Arabidopsis thaliana: one gene and its partner. The protein of the gene in region 1 interacts with the protein of each later gene in a pairwise test. Each region holds a gene or a part of one and is shown on either strand. Other genes may lie near its edges.

Evidence for each region.
Region 2: the proteins of PUB9 (region 1) and RK1 interact in a two-hybrid assay, tested with the Arabidopsis thaliana proteins (one study listed by BioGRID).

What each region holds. Positions count from the first base shown.
Region 1 is NC_003074.8:2,352,540-2,357,575, forward strand, and holds PUB9 (plant U-box 9), read left to right. Parts: upstream 1-2,100; 5' UTR 2,101-2,344; coding exon 2,345-2,635; exon of another isoform or gene 2,636-2,982; coding exon 2,983-4,074; 3' UTR 4,075-4,326; downstream 4,327-5,036. UniProt on the Arabidopsis thaliana protein: Functions as an E3 ubiquitin ligase. May be involved in the abscisic acid-mediated signaling pathway, at least during germination.
Region 2 is NC_003070.9:24,466,925-24,473,166, forward strand, and holds RK1 (receptor kinase 1), read left to right. Parts: upstream 1-1,857; 5' UTR 1,858-2,007; coding exon 2,008-3,286; intron 3,287-3,697; coding exon 3,698-3,832; intron 3,833-3,935; coding exon 3,936-4,126; intron 4,127-4,202; coding exon 4,203-4,413; coding exon of another isoform or gene 4,414-4,418; exon of another isoform or gene 4,419-4,498; coding exon 4,499-4,736; intron 4,737-4,839; coding exon 4,840-4,990; intron 4,991-5,078; coding exon 5,079-5,405; 3' UTR 5,406-5,548; downstream 5,549-6,242. Other genes in the region: RK2 (receptor kinase 2), read left to right, coding at 6,242-6,242. UniProt on the Arabidopsis thaliana protein: Involved in the regulation of cellular expansion and differentiation. Mediates subcellular relocalization of PUB9 from nucleus to plasma membrane in a protein-phosphorylation-dependent manner.

The DNA.
Region 1 (5,036 bases):
GACAATTTGACATTTCTTTTTAATGTTAACGTACACCACACCTTACATGCCAACAACTCATAATTTCATGAATTTTCTCTGTGTAATTTCATCTGTAGATTACCAAACTCACTGCATTGTGAAGAAAATAACAAAGATTCATCAATTTTCTCTTGAATTTAACCTTGTACCAAAAAAAAAAATATTTTCTTTCAGAAGATTCAGTTTGTTTTTTTCAAACTTTTGGAAATGACATGTTCAAGATAAGAGTGTTATTATCACACAATCAAAACTTAAAGGAAAAAAAAACAGAAACAAAGATAATAATTTGAGAAAGCAGAGATGTCTAGCAAGCAGAGAAAAAAAACGACAGTTCGAAGATAACGAGGGCATTAGAAAGGGACACGTGGGTTAGAGGGTGGTCCTACGTAAACTGATTTTTTATCAGCAGTCCAGCTTGGCACTTGTGAGATTCTCTTCTGTGTTTGCAGATGAGTGGTGCCCACTTCTCAGAAATAATAGATATTATTCATACACGTGTCTATTTCAAAATGCCACTCAATAATAGTTGGTCTACTAACAACTTCAAATTTGAGAATTGAGTTGACACTATTCTAACCTCAACACTTTGTATCGTTGTATATGAACATCGATCACCCACTCTTATGGATGGTGGTTAAATAAACCGAAGTACAATAGTATTTTTTTTTATAAAAAAAATCCATACAAATTTAAACAAATTCAATAAATGTACTAATAATTTTAGTTTGAAGTTCTAACAATTAACAATGTAGACAAAGTGCCAAGACAAATTCCGTGGCCAATATATATAACTTGGTTTAGTTAAAACATTTGTTGGAATTAAAACATATTTTCAAAATTTCATGTTTTGGTGGAAGAAGTCGTTTTCACCTTTTAAATTTGTTTCAGACATGGAGTGATGTGTCATCTTGTTTAATATTATTGTCTACAGAATGTTACTAAAAGGTGAAAACCAAATCTTGATAAAGAAGTTAATTATAAAACAAAATCTTCCGGTTACATTTTTTTGGTTTTTTTGAATGTTATAGATTTGGTCAACTCTCTTAATTCATCCAATCACGCGTCGAAAGCTATAATAACACTTGGTTGCTTTTTTTTTTTTAATACAATTTTGTTTTTAAAACGTTTAGAACAAAAATAAAAAGAAGAAAAAGAAAGAGTGAAAAACGGCAGGGGTAAAAACGTCAAAGAAGAAATAGAGAGAGAGAGTGAAGAGGAGTACAACAGAATCCACGCGGAAAGACAGCTGTTCCCATGTTGGAATAACTGTGCGGGTCCCACTTTCATTACACTCACTCCTCTCGCACATCTTCTAATTTTCGCCGCCGTTACCGTCTTTGGAATTTTTTTTGGTTTACCACACTAATGTTACATTTTTCGTTAGAGATGATTTTGTTTTTTGATTACAACCTCCTACGACGTTTGAGTTATTGAGATTACTTTTATAAATTTCCTTACTCTGTTTCTTTGGGTCAACAATTCAAACAATGATGGTAATGGAGTGATCAATTGACAAAAAAAAAACACGAATCAAACAATGATCGATTATATAAAGCTGTTATGGTCTAATAACTGAATAATAAAATCATCATAAGTAAGGAACCAAATTCGAATACTCGCAATAAACCAATAATAGTAATTTAGTGGATAAAATAATAGTTATGGGTTCGGTGTCTTAAAGATTTGAGTTTGATCATCGTAATTCGTAAACCTTTGAAACATTTTCTGTTTTTTTCACAAACTTTTGGGAATATTTGTTTTGGCTTGACAAACTCTCCAAATAGCTCTTTCGTCGTTTAAAATCTCTTAGTTACAAAACAATGTATTGAGGTTTCGAACTCCCAAAACCAAACACAAGGGAAAGATGAAAACCATTAGGCCGATCAATTACTATTAAGTTATAACTAGCTAAATTACCAATAACGTGTATGGATTTATACCCAAAAAAATAAGTAAACGTGTATGAGTCTACGAGACAAATCGTGTCGGCTGTATTTTGACACCTTAGTCGCGAGGTAGGTCATACGTGCTGCATTATTAAATTCTTAATTTTGGTCGAATTAATTAGTAAATACTCCTAAATAATGACGTGGCAAATTCGGTGCAGGCCACAATTCTATTATAGTGAAGCACTAGAGTACAACAACAACACTTGTGCCTCTTCTTCTCTCTTCCTCATATTTATTACTCTCTCTTTCACAAACACACAGAAAATAAATAAATAAAATTAATTAATGTGAGAAAATCAATTCAAAAATTTGGACATACGTATCATCTGAGAGAAGAAGGGTTTGGTGAATACCGGCGGGTGGAACCGACGGCGATGGCGAAGACCGGTGTTTTCGATTCGGATCCGACGGCGATTGCTAAAGCCAAGGAACTGAAGCGTGAGATGAAGAAGTTGCTGATTAAGATCGATGACGAAGATGATTTGGGTGTTCAGACGATTGATCAGTTACAGGACGCTTTGTCTGCGTTGAGAGAAGCGACGATGAGGAAGATGGCGAAATCTTCCTCGTTAGAGATGCTCGAGACTGTGTCTTGTCCTGAGGAGTTTCGTTGTCCTCTCTCTAATGAGCTTATGAGGGATCCCGTCGTTTTGGCTTCTGGTCAGGTTTGTGAACGTCGCATTTCGATTCAATTCTTCTTCTTCTAGGGTTTTGAATTTTGCTGTTTCTGTGTTAGGTGACTGAAAATTTTGGATTTTTGGGGGAATTTTGATTGGCTTGAAACTTTTTCATCTGTTTTCTCGACCCGACTGAGAGAATCCGACTCAGGTTTCATAAAGTTCTTGTTTTGTCGGTAGTTTCGGTAATGATTTTCGAAACGATGAAATCTGGAGATTTTATCATGTAAATGAAAAAAGTGATTTTTAGAGGATAATTATGTGTTCCTTAGCTTGTTTAATAAATCTGGAAAGCATATAACTAAAAATTTATATATTTGTGTGTGATTTTGCAGACATACGACAAGTTATTTATCCAGAAATGGTTGAGCTCAGGGAACAGAACATGTCCCAAGACTCAGCAAGTTCTGCCTCACACGGCTTTAACACCTAATCTCTTAATCCGTGAAATGATCTCGAAATGGTGCAAGAAGAACGGGCTTGAGACGAAGAGCCAATATCATCCCAACCTTGTAAATGAAGATGAAACTGTGACAAGATCAGATCGTGAGATTTTCAATTCCTTGCTCTGTAAAGTCTCTTCTTCGAACCTTCAAGATCAAAAATCAGCTGCCAAGGAGCTAAGACTTCTGACCAGGAAAGGCACTGAGTTCCGAGCTCTTTTTGGCGAATCTCCGGATGAGATCACCAGGTTGGTGAATCCCTTGTTACACGGGTCAAACCCAGATGAGAAGCTTCAAGAAGATGTGGTTACAACATTGTTGAACATATCAATACATGATGACAGCAACAAGAAGCTCGTCTGCGAAAATCCTAATGTGATTCCTCTCCTTATCGATGCATTGAGGCGTGGAACAGTCGCCACGAGAAGCAATGCAGCTGCAGCGATCTTCACTCTGTCAGCTCTCGATTCAAACAAAGTACTTATAGGGAAGTCCGGAATCCTGAAACCGCTTATCGATCTCCTAGAAGAAGGGAATCCATTAGCTATCAAAGACGTAGCTGCAGCGATCTTCACTCTTTGTATAGCCCATGAGAACAGGAGTAGAGCTGTGAGAGACGGAGCTGTTAGGGTTTTAGGTAAGAAAATCTCGAATGGGTTGTACGTTGATGAGCTTTTAGCTATATTGGCAATGCTTGTTACTCACTGGAAGGCTGTGGAGGAATTGGGTGAGCTCGGTGGGGTTTCATGGTTGCTGAAGATAACTCGAGAGAGCGAGTGCAAGCGAAACAAAGAGAATGCGATAGTGATACTGCATACTATATGTTTCAGCGACAGGACAAAGTGGAAGGAGATCAAAGAAGAGGAGAATGCTCATGGAACGATAACAAAGCTTTCGCGTGAAGGAACTTCAAGGGCGCAGAGGAAAGCAAACGGGATATTGGACAGACTGAGAAAAGCTATGAATCTCACTCATACAGCCTGAGAAAAGCCTTGAAATCTGCAATGTAAATTACCTAAAATCTTGTTTCTTTTTTTTACTTTATTTGGCTGTAAGAATTTTTGTAAATTATTCATATCTTTAGGATCTGAATGGTTATTGGTTTTCGTATGTGAGATGTAAGTAGAAATCTGTGTGAATAGTTTTTGCGTTTGATGTTTCTGGAGAAATCAATCAATAAAATCAATGTTGGTGGCTTTATTCAGCTGTGAAAGCCTTGGTCAACAAGTAACAGTGTGTAGCTTTTCGTCTGTTTCTGTGTATAAATAAGTAGATTATTAAAAATACATAGAAAGGCTGTCATGTCGTGTTCCTCACATCACTGATAAACCACAAAGCAAATCAATCTAATTCCACTCTCTCTGGAAAAAGAGTTTATTACAGAGTCACGAGTTTTCCATTGATGTGATTTTTTCTCTATGTAATGTAACGTGACGATGTGATTCCTATTGTCGTGTTAGAAAAAAACAGTACTTTTAAGTTTATTTATATATAAATAAATACTCATCAAAGCTTATAAATAAATTTCGACTATCACTGATGAATTATAAGTTTTGTTAGAAAACATAACGGAGTAGTTTTGTAATATATTTCTAAAAAATGTTCTAGACAAGGCAAGAAGCATGTAAGTAATGATAAAAATCACATGTATTTGGTTGGTTGGATTGCTTGGAAGTTAGAATTGAATCACGAAATTGCTAAAACTCGTGATTCGTAATAATTACAGGTCAACATATCGTGAGAAAGTTGAAAAAATGGAATATTTAATAGAGAGGATAGAATATGGATTCGTCCTAAACCACTCTTTGGTGTTATTCCTCACCAAACTTTCACAGAAAAGCCAAGAAAAGAAAGAATTTGATGCTTTCTTTTTAACTTTTTATCCCCAAGAAGTAACGTTTACAATTCATTGGATACAAAAAAAGAAATAAATCCCATAAAGGAAG
Region 2 (6,242 bases), on another chromosome or scaffold:
AAAGATTAACGCAACAAAACCCATTAAACAAGTGAACCCTCAAAGGTACGAACTTTACACTTTTGGCTATAACAGAGAAGCAAAAGGAACTATTTTTACGAGAACCATTGATCATTGAAAGGTAAAGTAAGGTTTTTTCTTCTTTGTTCTTTTTGGTAAACAACGTCTTAGGATTTTGAGATTCGCAATGAAAAACCCTAAATTCTAACGTTGGCTTGAACATTAGAGCGTGTGGCAACGAAATTTGAAGATGATGCAATGAAATTTTAGCCGCTTACTTTGAATTCGAGTTGTTGTTGTCAGAGTTTGATTACTTCGAGACGAAGAAGGGTTTGGTTTTGGGAGACAGGAACAGAGGTTTCTTTTAGAAGGACATGGATGAGTAAGGATTTGGAGGGAAAGGAGGAGAAGAAGTAATTAACTAAAATGGTAAAATTTTGGGGCTTTCTTGAGTTATTTGTTTACTTACGGGTCTACTATGTAAAGTAATTACGTTTCGTATTTAACCGGTTTACACGCTTTCGCAATCTAGCCTATCTACGCCATAAGCTAAACATGACTAGATAGTCCTATAAGGCTATGACAATAATGTTAATTTAAAAAAAGAGGATGTGTTCGTGGATGTTTTAGAGAGAAGCTAGAGAAGAAGAAAGCAATAGAATTTAGTATATTCTAAAATCTATTTCTATTTTTTTTTGCATTTGCATAGTCTTCAACATTAATAATAATTATTTGTATTGACAAAATTTTCATAAAATAAAATCTATGTCAAATAATATTATAAAGACAAAATTTTACACAATAATACAAAATTATATATGAATTAGAAAAAAATGTTGAAGGTAATATAGCAGTTAACAATTTCTTGATTCATTTAAAGAGAGAGTGCATCAATTAAGAGCAAATGTTATGAGATGGCTCAATTCTATGCAAAAATAAAAAGATAAAGTTCTAAAAATATAAAGCATGGAAATAAAATATTGATAACTCCTTCAAGTGGTATTGATGAGTTTATACGATCTGAACAAGTAAGAATCATACAAAACAAATCAAGAATAACAACAACCTATGATTGCACCTAATATTTATTGACAATATTTTGGTGACTTTAAAGGAATTGTACGTTGTAAAATCGTTTATGTAACAAGTCTCATTATTTGTAATAAATAATAAATTTTATAACTAAATTTTATAAATAATAAAACAGAAGGGCCCATAAATATTTTGTGTATTGCTTTTGTTTTTAATAACTAAATTTTATTAGAACTGTCATACAATTTTTTTTAAATAATGTAAAATCTTTAAAAGAAATTTATAAGGGCAGCCAAAAAACAATTTTGTTCTAGAACCCATGATAGAATTGAACCGGTCATGATGCGATGGCCAGTACACACAGCACTACGAATACGAAGCTCTGCCAAACAAATGTCATTTTGTAGTCTAAGGTTAATGATTTACTTGTCTAGCGAATGAAATAGTTGAAGCTTGGTGGTGTAAGTTAATTTCTTTCATGAATTGATATTCGTAGGAAAGGAAAGAAAACCAAAAAAAAAAGATTATTTATAACGAGAAAAACACAAATTAGTTTTATATCTCTCTGAGACACGCATAGGCCTGGCCACACACACACACAAATAAGGAGTGTTGACGAGATTTGTTTCTTTTTTGCGTAAACGAAGAAAGGTCAGTTACTAAGAAAATTACAAAAACACTGATAAGTAAATGTCTATCTAACGAGTTATTTTCTTGTCATTTGCTAGGTCAACTCTATAGTGACAGAGTCTATAGATATTTCAAATGCGAACAAGAAGACCAAGAAAACCAAGAAAACCAAGAAAAGACAGCCGAAAATGAAATATCATCAACAATGTAATATACAGAGTAATCGTGTAAATAACGGCACACATCAACAATAATATGAATCTCCGAAGATAAAAATTCTCAAATTCTCATAAAATTCCCTCAAGAAGAAAGAAAACAGAACACGAGAAACTGTCCTAGAGAGAGATGAGAAGTGTACCAAACTACCACCATTCTTTCTTCATTTTCCTCATTTTAATTCTGTTTCTTGCTTTCTCTGTTTCTCCAAACACTCTTTCAGCCACAGAATCTCTCACTATCTCAAGCAACAAAACCATTATATCTCCTAGTCAAATCTTCGAGCTCGGTTTCTTCAATCCCGCATCAAGTTCGCGTTGGTATCTCGGCATATGGTACAAGATAATCCCTATAAGAACCTACGTATGGGTTGCAAACAGAGACAATCCTCTCTCTAGCTCCAACGGAACTCTCAAAATATCCGGCAATAACCTCGTCATTTTCGATCAGTCCGATAGGCCTGTTTGGTCGACGAATATAACCGGAGGAGATGTGAGATCACCAGTGGCTGCAGAGCTTCTTGATAACGGTAATTTCTTGCTCAGAGACTCCAATAACAGACTTCTATGGCAGAGTTTCGATTTTCCGACAGATACTTTACTTGCGGAGATGAAATTGGGATGGGATCAGAAAACCGGATTCAACAGGATCTTGAGATCCTGGAAAACAACAGATGATCCATCAAGCGGTGAGTTTTCGACAAAACTCGAAACCAGCGAGTTCCCTGAGTTTTACATATGCAGCAAGGAGTCGATACTATACCGCAGCGGTCCATGGAATGGAATGCGTTTTAGCAGCGTACCAGGGACAATTCAAGTTGATTACATGGTTTACAATTTCACAGCAAGTAAGGAGGAAGTGACTTACTCATACCGAATCAACAAAACAAACTTATACTCGAGATTATACTTAAACTCTGCGGGTTTATTACAACGATTGACTTGGTTTGAGACAACACAGAGTTGGAAGCAACTATGGTACTCACCGAAGGACCTATGCGATAACTACAAAGTGTGCGGGAATTTCGGTTATTGCGACTCGAACAGTTTACCAAATTGTTATTGTATCAAAGGGTTTAAGCCAGTGAATGAGCAAGCGTGGGACTTGAGAGATGGCTCCGCTGGTTGCATGAGGAAGACGAGGCTGAGCTGTGACGGTAGAGATGGTTTTACCCGGTTGAAGAGGATGAAATTGCCAGATACCACGGCGACAATTGTGGACAGAGAAATTGGGTTGAAAGTATGTAAAGAAAGGTGTCTAGAAGATTGTAATTGCACTGCGTTCGCTAATGCGGATATTCGCAATGGCGGGTCTGGTTGTGTGATTTGGACCAGAGAGATTTTGGATATGCGAAATTATGCTAAGGGAGGTCAGGATCTTTACGTTAGACTAGCCGCTGCTGAACTCGGTTAGTTTCTTTCTTATTTGCATTTACTAAAGTGGTTCTTACTTTTTGTTTTGATTAAAAAGTTATGACCCAAAGTCAATATATCTTCCCAATCTGCGGACCAAGTCATGTAATATTGTCCCTCTCGAAGCAAAGTTCAAACTCCCTAATCTATAGAGGCTTTGGTCAACAAAGTACATTCTTGATGTTTGGTCAATTTGTTTAGTTTTTTTTTTTTGTCATCTGTTTTTAATTAGAGATCAAAAGATTAATAAGAGTTTAGCTAGATCCAATACCATTATACCAAAAAGAATTTTTGTTTAAGTTAAATTAATTATTTTGTTTATTTTTCGTATTAATTTTTTTTAATCAAACGTACAACAAAGGATATTTTTCGTATAGAAGTAAATATATGCCTCGTTTTTATTGCAGAGGACAAGAGAATCAAAAATGAAAAAATTATAGGTTCGAGTATTGGAGTGAGCATTTTGCTTCTTTTAAGTTTTGTCATCTTCCATTTTTGGAAAAGGAAGCAGAAGCGATCAATAACAATTCAAACACCTAATGGTAAAATAAATCATTAGCTTTCATTTCCTTTATTTTTGTCAATAAATTTTGATAATCAAATGTCTTGATTGTTTTTTTTTTTTTTAACGCCTGAATGAAACAGTTGATCAAGTGAGAAGCCAAGACTCGCTAATCAACGATGTGGTAGTATCTAGGAGGGGTTACACATCCAAAGAAAAAAAAAGTGAGTACCTAGAGCTTCCATTGTTGGAGTTGGAAGCTCTTGCCACGGCAACAAACAATTTTTCTAACGACAACAAGCTTGGACAAGGTGGATTCGGAATTGTTTACAAGGTAAAAGTGATTCAAAACATATTGAAAATCTACCACAGCACATGGTTTCATTGTATAATCACATGTGTGGTAATAGGGAAGATTACTTGACGGAAAAGAAATTGCGGTAAAGAGACTATCGAAAATGTCCTCACAAGGGACCGATGAGTTCATGAACGAGGTTAGATTAATTGCAAAGCTTCAGCACATAAACCTTGTCCGGCTTCTAGGTTGTTGCGTCGATAAGGGTGAGAAGATGTTGATCTATGAGTACTTGGAGAATTTAAGCCTTGACTCGCATCTCTTTGGTTAGTGACTCAAACAGCTTCTGTTCTAATAATTGAACATTTTTGTGAAAACGTTAACTTGTTGTTGGTTGTGTTGGATGTGTAGACCAAACACGAAGCTCTAACTTAAATTGGCAAAAGAGATTTGATATTATCAATGGTATTGCTAGAGGACTTCTATATCTTCACCAAGATTCACGGTGTAGGATTATCCATAGAGACTTGAAAGCAAGTAACGTATTGCTTGATAAAAATATGACTCCAAAGATCTCGGATTTCGGTATGGCGAGGATCTTTGGACGGGAGGAGACAGAGGCTAATACAAGGAGGGTGGTCGGAACTTAGTAAGCAATCATTCTTCAACAAAACAAAAAAAGAGCTTTTATCTCAAGTCCAAATATTTTCTTAAAAACCTCATAACATATGAGTTTATATTTTGTTATGCAGCGGCTACATGTCTCCAGAATATGCAATGGACGGGATATTCTCGATGAAGTCGGATGTTTTCAGCTTTGGGGTCTTGCTTCTAGAGATTATAAGTGGAAAAAGAAACAAAGGATTCTACAACTCAAACCGTGATCTTAATCTCCTCGGTTTTGTAAGCTAAAAACCTCTTCAATTCGATATTGTTTTGCATTCATAATCTGATTATAACACTAAAGAAATATTACATCCTTTATGCACAGGTGTGGAGGCATTGGAAGGAAGGAAACGAGCTAGAGATTGTAGATCCGATCAACATCGATTCTTTGTCATCAAAGTTCCCGACACATGAAATCTTAAGATGTATACAAATTGGTCTCTTGTGTGTTCAAGAACGAGCCGAAGACAGACCAGTGATGTCCTCGGTAATGGTGATGCTTGGAAGCGAAACTACCGCTATTCCTCAGCCTAAACGTCCTGGATTTTGCATTGGTAGAAGTCCTCTTGAGGCTGATTCTTCTTCAAGTACACAGCGCGACGATGAATGTACAGTGAACCAAATCACTCTCTCGGTCATTGACGCTCGGTAATTTGTAACTTACGGCCCAATCTGTTTACATGCATATCATTTTATAGGTAAGTCTAAATAGATTTTATTACTACATATATGATTCGATATCTTGCTCTATCTAATTTAATTTAGACAAAAGATTCACCACATGTTTCACATGATTTTGATTTAGAGCGAGAATTATAAAAAAAAAACATTTAGACAAAGACAAAAAAATGCAAGATTTGGAGTTGTCACTCCAAGATTTGAAGTTTGAGACCGAAACTCAATTAAGTGGGAATTCAGTAATGATTAATATTCACTTTTTGTACATACTACTGATAATAGACCAATACTGGAAGCGAACATAGGACTTTATGGCTATTACAACAGAGGACTTTATGAAACAAATCGAATATATACCTTAAACTTTTATGAATTCATCGGTGAAGCATTCTCTTGCATATAACATTTAGTATGTCGCCAGCAACATTGAAATTTTGTCTATTCTCGTACACACACACACAAATGGTTGAGGATATTATTTTTTTGGAGTAAACGAAGAAAAGTCAGTTACTAGGAAATTACAAAACCATAATTATCAATTTAACGACTTTTAAGGTCATTGACTCAATTCTATAGTGACATAGTCTATAGATATTTCAAAAGCGAACAAGAAGACCAAGAAAATGTAGCTGAAAATGAAATATTATCAACAATAGAGAGAAATCGTGTAAATGACGTTCACACATTTCAACACCAAACATGTCGTAATCTCCGAAGATAAAAATTCTCAATTATATGTACATAAAATTTTCATAAGAAGAAAATAAAACAGAACACAAGAAAGTGTCCTAGCTAGAGAGAGAGAGAGAGA